Oryctolagus cuniculus: one gene and its partners. The protein of the gene in region 2 purifies or fractionates together with the protein of the main gene of each other region. This does not show direct contact. Links are inferred from orthologs where the notes say so. Each region holds a gene or a part of one and is shown on either strand. Other genes may lie near its edges. The genes, in order: ENDOD1, TMEM43 and BZW2.

What was found.
Region 1: the proteins of TMEM43 (region 2) and ENDOD1 purify together in Homo sapiens (affinity purification with mass spectrometry; 3 studies listed by BioGRID and IntAct, with this or other methods). This does not show direct contact. The link is inferred for Oryctolagus cuniculus from reciprocal best matches to the Homo sapiens genes TMEM43 and ENDOD1.
Region 3: the proteins of TMEM43 (region 2) and BZW2 purify together in Homo sapiens (affinity purification with mass spectrometry; 3 studies listed by BioGRID and IntAct, counting the BioPlex papers as one, with this or other methods). This does not show direct contact. The link is inferred for Oryctolagus cuniculus from reciprocal best matches to the Homo sapiens genes TMEM43 and BZW2.

Annotation. Positions count from the first base shown.
Region 1 is NC_091432.1:86,429,839-86,434,666, forward strand, and holds the start of ENDOD1 (endonuclease domain-containing 1 protein), read left to right. Parts: upstream 1-1,589; 5' UTR 1,590-1,706; coding exon 1,707-2,006; intron 2,007-4,828. UniProt on the Homo sapiens protein: May act as a DNase and a RNase. Plays a role in the modulation of innate immune signaling through the cGAS-STING pathway by interacting with RNF26.
Region 2 is NC_091441.1:113,066,132-113,070,801, reverse strand, and holds the start of TMEM43 (transmembrane protein 43), read right to left. Parts: upstream 2,951-4,670; 5' UTR 2,702-2,950; coding exon 2,690-2,701; intron 1-2,689. Other genes in the region: CHCHD4 (mitochondrial intermembrane space import and assembly protein 40), read left to right, coding at 3,219-3,240. UniProt on the Homo sapiens protein: May have an important role in maintaining nuclear envelope structure by organizing protein complexes at the inner nuclear membrane. Required for retaining emerin at the inner nuclear membrane.
Region 3 is NC_091447.1:8,255,082-8,260,000, reverse strand, and holds the start of BZW2 (eIF5-mimic protein 1), read right to left. Parts: upstream 3,310-4,919; coding exon 3,032-3,309; intron 1-3,031. Other genes in the region: ANKMY2 (ankyrin repeat and MYND domain-containing protein 2), read left to right, coding at 3,665-3,731. UniProt on the Homo sapiens protein: Translation initiation regulator which represses non-AUG initiated translation and repeat-associated non-AUG (RAN) initiated translation by acting as a competitive inhibitor of eukaryotic translation initiation factor 5 (EIF5) function.

The DNA of each region.
Region 1 (4,828 bases), on a different chromosome or scaffold from region 2:
TCCTACTTTATAGGCTCACCTCACAGCTTTGCTCTGACTTGGAGGAAAGGCCAGGCCTGGGAATTAGAGCGATCTGCTTCAAGTCTGGCTCAGGACTTGCCTGCTGTGCCATGGCAGGCAAGCATCAACACGCTCTGGACCTCAGTGCCCCAAGCGGAACACTGGGAAACAGGATTATGTGAGAAGCCCTTAGTGGGTGCCCTGTCTCTGTCTCTTCTGCCATACTGTCCAAGTCACCATCTCTCACTAGGGGTTATTGCTTTTTCATGTCTTTCCTTCTTTCATTCTGGACTGGTCCTATGCACCAGATTCTGTCCAGAAAGCAAATATGATTGTGTCACCACTGTTGTAAGGTCCAAATCCTCCATATTACCTATGATGGAATAAAGTAGACTAGAACAGAAATGAGAGATGGCGAAGCCAATTGTACGCCTGGGTATTATTCCACGAAACTGGTTTTCTCACTGTGGGTCTTGTCAAGCAATATTTGAAGGCCTCTGGCCTATGATTCCCTGGAGGATAGGAGCCCTGCCTCCTTCTTTAGCCCCATTTCCCATAATCTTCCCCCAGTTACCTGCTGCGGATCCCCACCAGAAGTCTTCCTGAATTCCTCCAACACATCACCTTCCTTTCTGCCAGGGGAATCCCATAGCACAGTTCAGTTCCTCTCTGTTATGTAATGATCCTCCAGGTCTCAGCTCAAATGCTACTGCTTGAGGCAAACCTTCCCATACTGTATTCCAAGCCCCACAGGCGCCGAATTCTCACAGCGGCGTGGGCAGTTTGTAATTAGTCCTGTAATCGCGTGCTTCTTGGGTTCACGACAAGCCCGTCGAGTGGGGTGCTGTCTTCCTGACCCGGAGGACCTGTTCTTGTTGGTCCCTGTCGTAAGCCAGCACGGAGCCCAGGGTGGCACGTGAGCATTCACGGAGAGCAGTGAGGACGGAATCCCCTAGCCTCTCAATCCTTGGTGGTGGTCTCCCTTTCTGGATGTCAGTTTGGCTTCTCATCCTTGCACCTAGCCAATCACGGCAGGGCTGGGACGGTCGGCCTAGGTTTGGAACTTCCGCTAACGGGATCCTAGCTGGGATGTCAGGGCTTCTGAGTAGCTTAAAACAAACAAGCAAACCAAACATCAGGGTTGTCTACGGAGACGGCGGCGGCCGAGCAGTTCGGTGGGGAGGAGAGATTGAGCTTCATCAGCTTTCAGGAGGGACCGCTGCTCTTTAGCTTCGAAGTCCGCACAGCTCCGCGAACCCCTCACGCGGCCCCTCTGCATCCCCGAGGGCCCCTGCGGCGCGCTAGACCAGGGGGTTTCTTGGCGCCCAGCCCCGAGGACCGTCCCCTCCCAGCCCCTCGGACTCGCTCGGTCAGGCTCCAAGCCGCCGCTCCTGCCGGGGACGCGCTCGCTGCTGCAGAGAGCAGGGGCGCGGCGGCAGGTGTCCCGCGCCTCCAGGCGCTGCGGCCGCACCCCGGGGCGCTGGTCCCTGGCCTCTGCTGCCATCTTCAGCGAGGGAGGAAGGGCGGCAGGGGCGCGGCCTCCGTGCGCGGACCGCCCCCGCCGCCAGGGCCGCCCCGCCCGGCTGGCCGAGCGCCGCGCCTGGGTTCCGACTTCCCCTCAGGCCGAGCCGGGCGGCATCGCGCGCTCCCCGCCCAGCCCGCAGAGCCCGCGCCGCGGCCGTCCCGCCGCGCTCGCAGAGGCCGCCATGGGCCCCGCGCGCTGGCTGGCTCTGGGTAGCCTCCTCGCCCTGGCCCGGCTGCTGGAAGGCCGGCTCGTGGGCGAGGACGAAGGTGGCTTTGGCGAATGTGACAAGTTCTTCTACGCCGCGACCCCGCCCGCGGGGCTGTCGGCCGAGTCCCACGTGAAGATCTGTCAGCGCGCGGAGGGCGCCGAGCGCTTCGCCACCCTGTACAGCACCCGCGACCGCATCCCCGTGTACTCGGCGTTCCGCGCCGCGCGCCCCGCGCAGGGCAGCGCCGAGCCGCGCTGGCTGGTGGAGCCGCAGGTAAGCGAGGTGGCCCCCGAGCCTGGCCGCGCCTCCAAGGGGGCACTCCGGGAAAAGCAGCTTCCACGCCCTAGGGGGCCTGAGGAGGCACCCCGCCGCGCCCCGGGAGTTCCAGCCTGCCTCCCCCATGCCGAAGCTGCAGGAAGAGCTTGGCGACCTGCGAGCTTTCGGTGAAGCGACTGGGGCGGGAGGTGCCCCGTGGGAGGCGTTCTCCCTCCATTTGGGCGCGGACATCTGCAGTGTCTCACTCGTTTCCTGAGTAGTGAGGAGCTTGAGATAGACCCAGGAGAGCGTTCTGATCCGCAGGAAGCCCAGGCTGGGCGCCCAGAGGCCTGGGCAGGCGTCACTTGCCGCATTCGGGGGGGGGGGGTGTAGGCGGGTGGGCGTTCTTATGCCCACTGTGCAGAAGAGGGAGTGCGGGTGGGTGGGGCGAAGAGCCTCGCAGAAGCCCACCCTGCTGGTAGGTGGGGCAGGTCTTTTGGCTAGAAAGTCGCTGTCCTTTCTCCTAGGGAACGCTCCCCTTCTGCGGAGCCCAGCCTAGCAAGGGCAATCCTTCCCTCTATTAGATGTGAAGCTGTGTTGAGCTAGAACAGCAAAATAAAGGCACAGGTTTGGGGGAATGTAGTGGGAAAAGTGGTAGGGAAACATTGAGTACCTTCCGCTGATGGGAAGACCAAACCAGTTTTTCCTGATGTTTCATATCAATATCTGTACTATCAGATCACTTGCCAAGCCTGTCACCTCTCCTGGTGTTCTGTCCCGTCTGGTGCTGGTGACCAAACACTTGGAGAGGCTGCCCTGCTGAACCTGCTAGCCTACTCTTAACACCCCCTGGCTCACCTCTGCCCAGCTGGCCTCTTCTCTGCAACACCCCCAGCTAGGCCCCCTTCAGCCTCTGGCCAGTCTCTCTCCCTGCCCTCATTCCTCATGGCCACAGCTGCCCAAGACCACACCACACTGGCCTTCAAGGTGCTGCCTCCAGAGCTGCCAGCTATGAGCCCATTCAGATATTTCGAGCTCTGAGATCTTAGCTGGATCTCCAACAATCCTCACCTGATTGCCTTGCCCTCTCCGCACCCTTCATGTGCCCTGCCTGTCGACATCAGAGGCAGTGAGATCTGGCATGCAAAGCAGACTGTAACTTATGCATACTTCAGATAGTTTTTTTTAAAGACTTATTTATTTATTTGAGAGGCAGAGTCACAGAGAGAGGGAGAGACAGAGAGAGAGGTCTTCCATCTGCTGGTTCACTCCCCAGATGGCCACAAGGGCCGGAGCTGGGTCTATTGAAAGTCAGGAGCCAGGAGCTTCTTCCAGATCTCTCATGTGGGTGCAGGGGCCCAAGGACTTGGGCCATCTTCCACTGCTTTCCCAGGCCATAGCAAGAAGCTGGATTGGAAGAGGAGCAGTCAGGACCCGAACCGGCACCCACATGGGATGCCAGCACCACAGTTGGAGGCTTAGCCTACTATGCCACAGTGCAGGCCCCCAGACACATTTTAATCTAAAATTATTCTTCCCCTTGCAGTGCAACCCAGCTCCTTGGGGTATGCCCTGTGATTGTGGGCCTGTGAAGAAAGTGGGTGGCCTGATCCTTTCTCCTTGAGAACCTCACAGGACTGCTCAAGGAGACAGGATAGAAGTGTGAAGAAGTCACAAGACTGCAGATTTCAGTTAGATTCAGAGCACATTTAGTAATTACCTGCTGTATGCCAAATATTTAGAAAACTGAGCATAACTGCACATCCCCGGAGCTTCCTAGCTTGCAAGTAGAGAGGTGCCATAGCACCTGGTTAGAGTTGTGCTGTGTGGGTTCAGATCCCAGATCCTCCACTAACTCTGTACACTAGGGCAGGTTAGCCTAGAGACAACAACAGCGTGGGATGGTTGTTCGAATTAAAAGTGTTAATGTTATGAAATTCTCAGAGAGGCAGCCAACGCACAAGTGCAAGCTGTCGTGACAAGCAAAAAACCGTACTTTAATAAAGGTACACAAAGTCTTATTAGATTTCCTTTGTATTGGAAGTGATGGGGGAAATCTTCTGGTCAAGATGATATTTTTGCTGTGCCTGGAAGGATAAGGCAGAGTTCAGAAAGGAGACAAAAGGAGGGAATTTCAAGCAGAGGGAACATCACCAGTGAGAAATGCATGAGTGATTCAGGGATGAGTGTGTGGGGTGTGGTTGGGACAGGTGAGCAGATTGTAGCCTATTAAGTGTTCCGGACACAGGGTGGTAATGGAAGGGAGGGGCGAGTAGGGGAGGCTCAGGGAGGCAGAGCCATTCATTCAGTTTTTGAAGGGGTCATCAAGGAACACTACTTGGCGGAGAGAAGTGGAGAAGAACCAAGTCACCAAGCAGTGGAGACCCTGGACAGAATAATGAAAAATGGATCAGGAGGAGGAGGGGAGTTGTTCCAGATGGTTCCTGGGCAGAGAAGTATAGCAGTTTTGGCAAGTACAGGAGTCCGGAGTCTCCCCTCCACCTTGCTGGAGAAGCCAGAGTGGCCGCTGATGCTGAGCCCTGCAGGATGCTTTCCCTGGGAGCTAGATGGGCTCCCGCCCCGCCCCGAGTCGCAGGGAGCCAGGGATGATGAGGTGGGAGGTGCACTGCAGCAACCCTGACCCCTCCTCCCATCTGCTTCCAGAAGCCTGCCTCACAGCCAGGAGCCCCACTACAGAAGGATGCTCGGGGCTCAGTGCTTACTTCTGGCTGCTTCCAAACAGTTTGGAATGCTGAGTCGCTTTGTGCCCACATCACCTTTTTATAAAGTCAGCATTACCAAGAGGCGGGGCAGACAGAGGAGGAAGGGCAGGTGAACAA
Region 2 (4,670 bases):
GAGGGCCTGCCCAGCAGAGGGCCCAGGTGAGCAGTGGTGTGGCAGCAGGACATGTGTCTCAGGAGCAGCTGCCGTCTGCCTGGCTGGGTTGTGAGGGCGTGGGACAGCATGAGGGCCACAGGCATGTCTGGGCAAGTTCCCAGGCACAGTCTGCAGTGCGTCCCCCGCCAACCAGGAAGGCTAGCCATCCAGGCTCTGCCACACACCGGCCAGGGGCCTTTGGCCAGGCAATGAAAACCCTCTGTAGCCTCCACTTCCTCATCAGTAAAGTGGGAACAGGGGTCCACTGCACAGGCTGCGGTGAGAAGCCAAGGACGTAACAGCCAGGCTGCTGAGCACAGCGGGCCCTGCAGGGCCCTGTGGGTTTTCATTAGCAGGGCTGTTATCAGAGGTCTCTGCATCCGACGGGGTGGCAGCAAGGCTGTGGGTGAGCCAAGAGCGGTCACGAGGGTGGAAAGTGCTTCCCAGAGGAGCTCCTGCTGCCTGAGGCCCCCCACCTTGCCACCGCCCAGTCCGAGGAGAGACTGAGATCAGAATCTCTGCACACCGCAGCCCAGGCCTGCCTGGAACCACACGTGTCCACAGCACCCAGAAACAACCTGACTTCCGGTATCAACAGATACACTGCTGGACTCTGTCAGCAGGTGGGTCGCTGACCATTGGCCATGGTAAGGATGGCGATGCAGACCTGCCAGGCTACCATGGGCCAGGTGTGGGCAAGATCCGGGGGACAGACACTCACTATGCCCCATTTCACCGGTGAGAAAAACCAAGTCTCAGCAGTTTCGGCGTCTGCCCAGATCTCACGGCCTTTTGGATTTTTCTACCACGAAGCTCACGTCTGTGTCACTCAGTGCTGGGGCTGAAATGTGAGGTGAACGCTGGGTGCCAGCTGCAGGCATGGCTTCCTCCTGGGCCACCCCGTGGCCAGCATCAAGGGCTCCAGGAGGGCCTTGGAGGGAAGGAAGAGAGGCCCAGGAGGCTCCCTGCCAGGCTGGAGGGAGGTGGGTAGTGACAAGACACACCCAGCACCCAGCCCAGGTTCTGAACCAAATTTCCCACACTCCACACTCAGGAGGGGCAGGGAGGAGGTATGCAAATGAGCTCCTCCCAGTGACACACTCACACACACACACACACACACATTCGGGCACTCCAGGCTCAGCTGCTTGAACAAGTGGTGGGAACAAGGACTCACAGCGCCTGCTTGGCCGGTCGGCTGCTGGGCAACCTTGGGTGAGTTGCTCTGCTTCTCTGACCCCCCACCCCCCCCCCCCCCCCGCCTACTCACTTAGGAAACGCAGAAGGGGTCACTACCTTCATCAAGGGACAGTTACTGTCATAGCGAATGCTGCCCTCTCCCCACTCTTCAGATCTTTCCCCCGCCCTGAGGGAACCCCAACTTTTTTGCGCATGCGTGCAGCTAAACCAGCGACGGGCATTTTCTCCACAAAGTAGCAAGATGCGCGACAAAGTCCTGGTGGCTGCCATCGACGTGTCCCCAGCTCTGCAGATCAGCAAGAGCCTGGCGGCAGAGGCGGCCCAAAGGTACCCCCGTTTCTTGGTGACACACCCGGGCCAGGCGCGCTAAGGCTGTGAGAACCACCTGCTGTTCGGTGCTGGGAACAGGCTCTGTGCTGAGCTGGTGAAGAAACACAGATCCAGCGAGCGCAGGGCCACACAGCTACAGAGCGGGTGTGCCCCCAGGTCTCCCTGAGTCCTCAGCACCTTCCCGTGTCCTGGTGTGCGCCAGGGTGGACGTGAGACCCTGGGCAGGTCCCTTCCCCTGCTCTGCAAATTCCCCATCTGTGAACTCCATGGATGGCGGCGCCGCCTGCTGCAGGGCCAGGCGGGTCTCCTGGAACCGTCTGCCCTGGCGGTCCTCCGCCCGCCTTTTCTAGGGCACTGTGCCAGGGGCAAGGGGCGACACAAACCCTGGCCTCCCGGGGTCCCTTTGGGGAGAGCAGTAGCCTTGGCAAGAGAGAGTGACAGGCCCGGGAGGGCGGGTCTGGGCTGGCAGGGTGCTGGAGCTGGCTCCACAGAGCAAGGGAGTGAGTCACCAGCTTCTCGCACAGCCGACACCCCGGCAGGAGGGCGAGGTTTGTTGAATGAATGTTCTGTAGGTTGCAAAGAGGCTGGCAGCCCTGAAGGCCATCCCCGGCCAGGGCCCCTCCGACCAAATCCGCTAGGAGGGGAGCGCAGGGGAGCGGAGGGGAGGGGAGTGGAGGGCGGGCCGAGGGACGCGATTCTCCTCTGCAGCCCTCCCCGCCCGGCCCGGGCCCCTCTGCGGCATCGCAGCCCCTGGGCGGGGGTCTCGCTCTCTGCCCGGTCTGTCCCTCGCTGGACAGCTCCCCGCGGGCGGGATCCGCCTCCCGCCCCCGCGACGGACCGGCCCCCTCCCCGAGGCCGCGCCCGGCTCTCCAGTGCCGCGGGGTTCAGACCCCCGAGGAGCCAGGCGGGGCCTGGGAGAAGCCGAGGCGGGCGCGACCCCTCCCGAGCCCCGCTCCCCGCAGCCGCGCCCCGCAAGGCGAGCCGCGCCGAGGACAGCGGACAGAGACGGGAGCAAGACGGACAGGCCGAGCGACAGCGGACGAGACTGCGACGAGGCTCGGACAGCCCCTCAGACCCGGGCGGCCAGCAGGGAGACGGGGCGGCCTGGGTGTGGCCCGGCCGACCGGGAGGCACTCACATTCGCCGCCATGCTGGGGCCCGAGTCGCGGCCGCCCACTCGCTCTGGTCCGGAGGACGATCGGAGTGCAGAGTCTCGCGGCCTCTTCGCTGCCCTACCGCCGAACAACTCCGCGTGGAGCCCGGGATCAGGAGCAACTTGCTACGCAGTCCCCGCCCCGAGGGAACCCCAACTTTTTTGCGCATGCGCGCAGCTAAACCAGCGGCGGGCATTTTCTTCACAAAGTAGCAATACGCCCGAGATTCACTGGCACGCCTGCGCGCCGCAAAGAGTTCCTGGGAAATGTAGTTCCCACCTTCTGGAGGGCAGCCAAGGGGCCCCTCAGGCTCTTGGGAAATGTAGTTTCTGGCTGAGGAGAGCCGGGCTGGCGCTGCGAGGGCGCGGAGGCAGGCGCGCGGCGGGCAGGCCTGGAGGGGGCGGGTCTGCGCGGGCCTCACAGCCGTCTGTCTGCCCTGCCTGAGTAGAGGGAGGTCACGGCGTGACCGTCGCCACCGCCGCCGGTGCGAGGTCGAGTCGCCGGGCCGCAGCCATGGCCTACTGCCGGCAGGAAGGTAGGGAGAGCGGGCTGCGCCGGCCTGTGGGAGACGCGCGGGCTCCTGCGGCCCCTGTGGCCCCTGTGGCCCCCGCGGCCGGCGAGGGCTCCCCGAGGCGCGGTCGGGGGGTGCCCACCTCGGGGCTGACCGGGCGGCGGGGTCGCCACATGGAGTTGTGTAGAAGAGAAAACGGGGTTCTGGGAAGAACGGGGCTGGTCCAAGGTCACGGTGCAGCCTGAACCCGGAGCTCGGAGGGGCCTGCACGTGGGAGAGCCGCAGACCAGGCCCGGAGGGCGCCCGGGAAGCGAGCGCTGGGCTCGCAGGTGGGATTGTGCTGCGGCGACTTGTTCGCGCCCCGCGCGGGCCCTCCACGGAGGCGTGTGCGGTGTCGGGGCGCGGGAAGCGCCCCCTGCACCGTTGGAGCATATTCCTAGCTCTGCGCTTGCGTTTATGGAGCCGTAAACCGAGACGCAGGTGAGTCGGCCAAGCCGGTGGGGCCGGGGTTGGAGGCCCTGCTGCTCTGCCCCCCAGAGCCGTCCCTGGGCCTCGCCACACTACCGGGGTCCCTGTGCCCTAGCGGACCCCCGACCCCGCCAGGCCCCCGGCGCCGGGCCTCATTCATTCGGCGGCGCGTTCTCGGTGCCGGGGGAGCGGCTGGTGGGCTGCAGCGGATGCACAGCTGTGGAGTTAGCACTCAGACAGAAATTTGAACAGCTTTGCTCCTTCAGTTTAACTTATGGGTCCTGAGGCCCAGAGAGGGTGGCCACCCATCCAGCCCCCTGCTAATGCGCCTTTGGGGCAGCGGCTGGTGGCTACAGTACTTGGGCCCCTGCCCACCCCCTGGGGGGAGACCCAGAGGCTGTTCCTGGCTCCTGGTGTGAGCCTGGCCCCCTCTGGCCAGCATTTGGGAAATCAGTGGATGGAAGAAGACCTTTCTCTGTCAAGTAGATGAGAATAAGTAAAATGTTAGAAACGAAAATGAATAAAGAAATATGCCGGGTCTTTACCGCGGGACTTCTGCCTGGGTGTAGAACGGCTGCTTCCCTGGACCCGAAAGCTGTCCCACTCCCTCTCCAAGGACCGCGGGCATACCTCACTTTCATTGTGCTCCCTATTCCGTGCAGCTTCCGTTTTGAAGCTTTGTGACAGCCTTCTGTGGAGCAGACTGTTGGTGCCATTTTTCCAACAGGGCAGATAATTGTTAGTGTTTTTTAGCAATAAAATATTTTAAATTAGGTGTATTATTTTTGTAGCTATAATGCTATCGCACACTTAATTGACTATAGTATAGTATAAACATAAGTTAATATGCACTGGGAAGCCAAAACGCTGTGTTGCTCAGTTTATTGCGCTGTTTACTTTATTGTGGTGACCTGGAACTAAACCCACAGTGTCTCTGAGGTGTGCTGTACTGTTTCTCTTGATGAACACTTACTGTGTGCCCCAAA
Region 3 (4,919 bases), on a different chromosome or scaffold from region 2:
CAGGGAAAGATCTGATACTCAAACATGCACTGCTCCCCTGTCACGACAGGAACCAGCGTTCCCTGGGCGACAGCCGGAGACCCAGGAACAGTGTGTGGGATGTGGAATATGCACAGGTGAAATTTCATGGTCAACAGAATGTCAGAACCTTGAAACCCAAAGCATTTACAGCCCGTTTGCCCCTGGTTATGGGCATGTGTATGTGTGTTTAGTGCCACGGTGCACTGCTCACTGCCAGGAAGGATTAGCTGAGTTGGGAAATAAATCCACCTAAAATAACTTAGGGATCAAATGGACTCAACTCAGCATGTACTGGGCACAGCACAGGGACAAGACACTACACCTTGAGAATCAGAGGCCACCCCGACCTGGCTGATACATGGGTGAGAAGAGCCTGCACGAGCCACTTCCTTGGCAACCCAGAGAAGCAGTGTGAACTCGGGGGACCAAGGCGGGAGGCTGAGTTAGAAGATGCTGTCCACAATGGGACCAGTTGTCATCCCTGTGCGTGGCTCTCACAGTCTGGGAGAAGAGGTGAGCAGGAAGCAAGGAGCAGCCATCAGTTCTGGGAAGCAGTGACTTCCTGAGGAGGGTTGGGAGGTCCTTCCAGGAAGAGCACAGCAGGAACAAAGGGGGGTGAGAATGACCAGCAGGGTAGGGATCCAGCAGGGCTGTGACCTCAGAGCACAGCAGGGGAGAGGCCACAGCAAGGCTGGCCGGACCTGAACCTCCACTCTGGGGCCAGAGGGTGTTCCATGGTTATTGATCTGGGAGTTCCTTGGGTTAGCTGCATGGGGAGAGGTGGCAGAGGAACAGGGGGTGTAAGAATCCACTGATGGGCCAGCGTTGCGGCCCAGTGGGCTGAGCTGCCACCTGTGATAATGCTGGTTCAAGTCCCGGCGGCTCCACTTAAGATCCACCTTCCTGCTAACACACATGGGAAAGCATAGTAAGATGGCCCAAGCACCTAACCCCTGCACCTGTGAGAGAGACCTGGAAGCTCCTGGCTCCAGACTTTGGCCTGGCCCAGTCTCAGCCACTGTGGCCACCTGGAGAGTGAACCAGTGGATGGAAGCTCGCTCCCTCTCTGTAACTCTGCCTTTCAAATAAATATTTACAAAAAATAATGGACTGGAATGCCAGGGGTCTAAGGCAGTCTTTAGGAGCAGAGGAGGGGACACAGACACACTGATTCTGAAATTGATATGAAATTTGTGATAAGACATACTGATAAGAAATCAGTATTCTTTACAAGGTGAAGAAACAAGAGCATCATCATACAAATTCTGCTACACAAGTGTGGCAGTAGGCTCCAATTTCTGTAAAAATAAATAAAATGGTGGGTATATATATATATTTACATAAACTAGCTCTGCAAAATATGAAAAAAATAAATCTCATTGGCTGTGGGGCAGCAAGGAGGCAGGAGGGGCCTGTAGCTCCCCTGGCGAAACCACAAGGAGGCATTATCCACCAGCTCCTCAAAATAATAGAGTTCCCCCCTCCCCGCACTGCCTGGCACCCAGGTGCCATGCCAGGCTCCCATCCTGCTTCTGACACTTGTCAGCTGTGGCGCTGTGGACTAACGAATTAACTTCCCTATTTTCTGCCCTCCTCGTTGCAGAAATGAAAATCATCTTGGCTAATTCCTGGGTTGTTATAACGATGATTAAAATAATCCTGTGCAAAGCATCTGGTAGAGTTATTTGGCGCGGGCTGAGCACTGCTATTTTATTATCAATGAAACTCCTTAGATCTGAGCACGGTTTAATATGCTCATTAGTGACTCTCACCCCTACACTAAATATTTAGACTGCACAAAGCTATTCACGTCACCCATCTAAGGAACCATTCTCCATGATGGCAGAAATTTAAATGGAGCAGCTGACCTGTCCACATGTCTGAGTCCACATTTACCTAAGCCACAAGAGAGGCTCAGAACCAGTCAGGTGTCACAAGGCAGGAAGAGGTAACTCAGCTCCTATCCCCGGGGAGCCGACGGCCCCAGGGAGGCAAACAGGTGCGACCTTGAAGACACCAGGGCTGGAATCCAGGCGGGAAGCACCTGCGGGCTCGGTCGGGGTTCCTCCCAGGACGCTCAGAGTGTCACCCAGCCCCGGTCCCTCCCTTCCCCCGGGCAGAACAGGCGCCTGATTATCTTAGCACCATCGGACAAAAACTTTCTTTGTTACGCGCAGAGATGAATGATCTCAGGCCGTCTGGTCCTGGCTTCGCACCCCCAGCCTGGGCAGCAGCAAAGCCTCGGTGGGGGAGGGGAGCAGGGCTGGTGTGCGGGAGATTTGGGGGGGTGGGGGAGGCAGGAAATCAGAAACCAGCGAAGCTGCAAAGAGCTCTACTGCACTTCGCACGCGGCACAGCGGGCCAGCCAGAGCGAAGCCGCCGACGTCGTGATTGACGTCTGTCTCTCGCTCGTCTGCGTCGTGATTGACGCGTGTCTGTCCGGACTCGGCCGGTCAGGGCTGGAGCAAAGGCTGCAAGGCAGCGCGGACGCTTATTCTCCAGGCGGCCTGCAAGGGAGGCCGCGGGCACGGCGGACACGCACCCCGTGAGGTGGGGTGGGGGGCTCTGGACTCCGGCCCCCAGCCCTTAGCAGGCCGCCCCCCGCACACGACACCCAGGCAGCGGCCAGAGGGGAAGCCGCGCCGCCGACCCCGTCCCTGGCCCTCCTGCCCCGGGTCCGTGGAGCGCGCGGGACCCGGGCACCTCCGCGGCGCGCAGGGCCCCGGGGCTAGTTCCAAAGCCGGGCAGCGGGCGCACAGGCCCGGGCGGGCGACGGCCGAAGGCAGCCGCCTCCCCAGCACGCCGGCCCCTGCCCCCCGCGCCCTCCGCGGCCCGCCGCTTCCCGCGCGGGACCACGTGCGCCCGCCCCGTGGCCGGCCGCAGCCGGGCGAGCCGCGGTCCCCGCCCGCGGGGCTTCGGCTCCGGCTCCGGCGGCACAGGCACACGCGCCCGTCCGCACGCCGGCTCCGGCCCCGGGCGCCTGGGTCCCCACGCGGGGCTGGCTTCTCACCTGTCCGAGGAGGTAGCGACGACGCGCGAGGCCGGGGGCTGCGGCGGCTTCTGGCAGCGGCGGCAGACAATGGAGGAATGAAGGACAGACACATTGACATAGACACACGGAACCCAGCGCAGCACCGCCTCCCGCCAGGCCCCGCCCCTCGGCCCGCCCCTCTGCCGGACTGCGCCTCTCCCGGGGGATGCCGTGCGCTGCAGAGCCGAAGCAGGAGGCGTCTTCACGCATTGGAAAGCCACAGCGGGAAACAGCACTGCTAGGTAGAGAATGGTCATCGCGCTGCGTCCCCAGGTATCTGAACCTAATAGAGAGGGGGCGGAAACGTGCAAGAAGAATTTCCTGTCCCCCCTCCTGTTTTCTCCGTTTGGTTTTGCCCGCTCGGGCTGCTCCAATCGGAGTCCCTGGAAGCAGCCTCCTGCGGCTCCTCCCCCAGTCCGGGCCAATGACACGCGGGGGGCGGTGCCGGCGGCGGGGCTCGCGGGAGCTCGCGCCCCGCAGGGAGAAGGGAGTGGGGCGCTTCCGCTGTCCGCCGCTGCTGCTCGCCCGGACGGAGCCTCGCTTTTTTTTTTTTTTTTTTTTTTTTTTTGAAGCTTGCCCAGGAGCAAGATCGCCTTCAAGCTGGCGGCAGCCATGGTTCACATACAGAAAGGCGAGCTGACTCCGGAGGAAAAGGAGCTGCTGGAGGCCATCGGGAAAGGTATGGGTGCGGGGCTGGGAAGCGGGGCGCCGCGGCCTTAGCAGGGGGCGTGGCGGAGCCCCGGGGTGGGGGGCGCCCCGGCCGGGGTACCCCGCGACGTGGGCAAGGCTCTGGCCGGGTGAAGGCGGGGTTTCGCGGCCTGGGTCTGCGCTGCCCCCCGGGCCGCGGGGTGAGCCGCACACACGGCCTCCGCAGCCTGCTGGGTTCTCGGGCTGCTTCCGGGGGCAGTCTGGGGCCACCTCCTCTCCTCCACTTTGCTTTGGGGGCTGAGAGAGCCGTAACTCGGGGCTCCCACGTCCCAGGCCTCGCTGCGTGCGCGCCCCAGGCCTCGCTTCCGCTGCGCCCCGGGCCCGAGGAGCCCGCACCTGGCAGGTGTCGGGGGGCGTGGCTGCTGCGCCAGGGGGTCCCGCAGATGGAGGCTCCACCGCGACGATGGAGGCCGGATTTGAACTCCACCGGGGCCAACGAGCTGAGTCCTCCCGGTCTGGGGTAGCCCCGGTGTGGGGAATCTCCAGCCTTATTAGCCTGCCGAGCTACAGCTTTGGGTCCTCCCCGACCTGGTGGGCTGTCTCCTGTCCCTGGGGGCTGCAGGGCTCGGTCCAGCACGCGTGAGTGCCGGCCTAGGACTGTGCCTTGCCCCGCCCCAGTCCATCAGGGACCAGAGCAGGCGAGAGCTGTGGGTCACGTGTTCGCTTATTAACAGTGACAGGCGCCAAGCCGTCTTAGAGATGAGGTCTCAGGTGTGGCAGGTGGGTTTTGGAGTTGCTGGGAAGCCAGGTGAGGGTGTCTCTGCTCCAGTTAGGGCTGGATGTGCCAGGAAGTGGGGCGGCCTGGGAGTCACATGGGGCATCCGTAGTGTGTGTGTGTGCGCGTGTGTGTGTCTGTGGTCCCTTTGCTTGGCACAGGCTAATGAGAAAAGAAGTGAGGTGCAGGTGGTGTCAGGGAAAGTCTGGGACACCACTGAACTCTCAGAGCAGTGTGAGATGGGAGCAGAGTAGCAACCACAAGATGCACCTGCTGAACCTCATGAGCCAGGTGGGATTCTGCATACTCTACATGCATCTAGTTTTGAGCAGCTAACCATGATTTTTAAGCTGTCATGTTCTGAGAGGGGCTAGCTGTTCGGGTCCTTTTTGGGGATCCTGCCTGAATCCCCTGTGTGGTGCTGTGGCCGTGGGCACCTCAGTA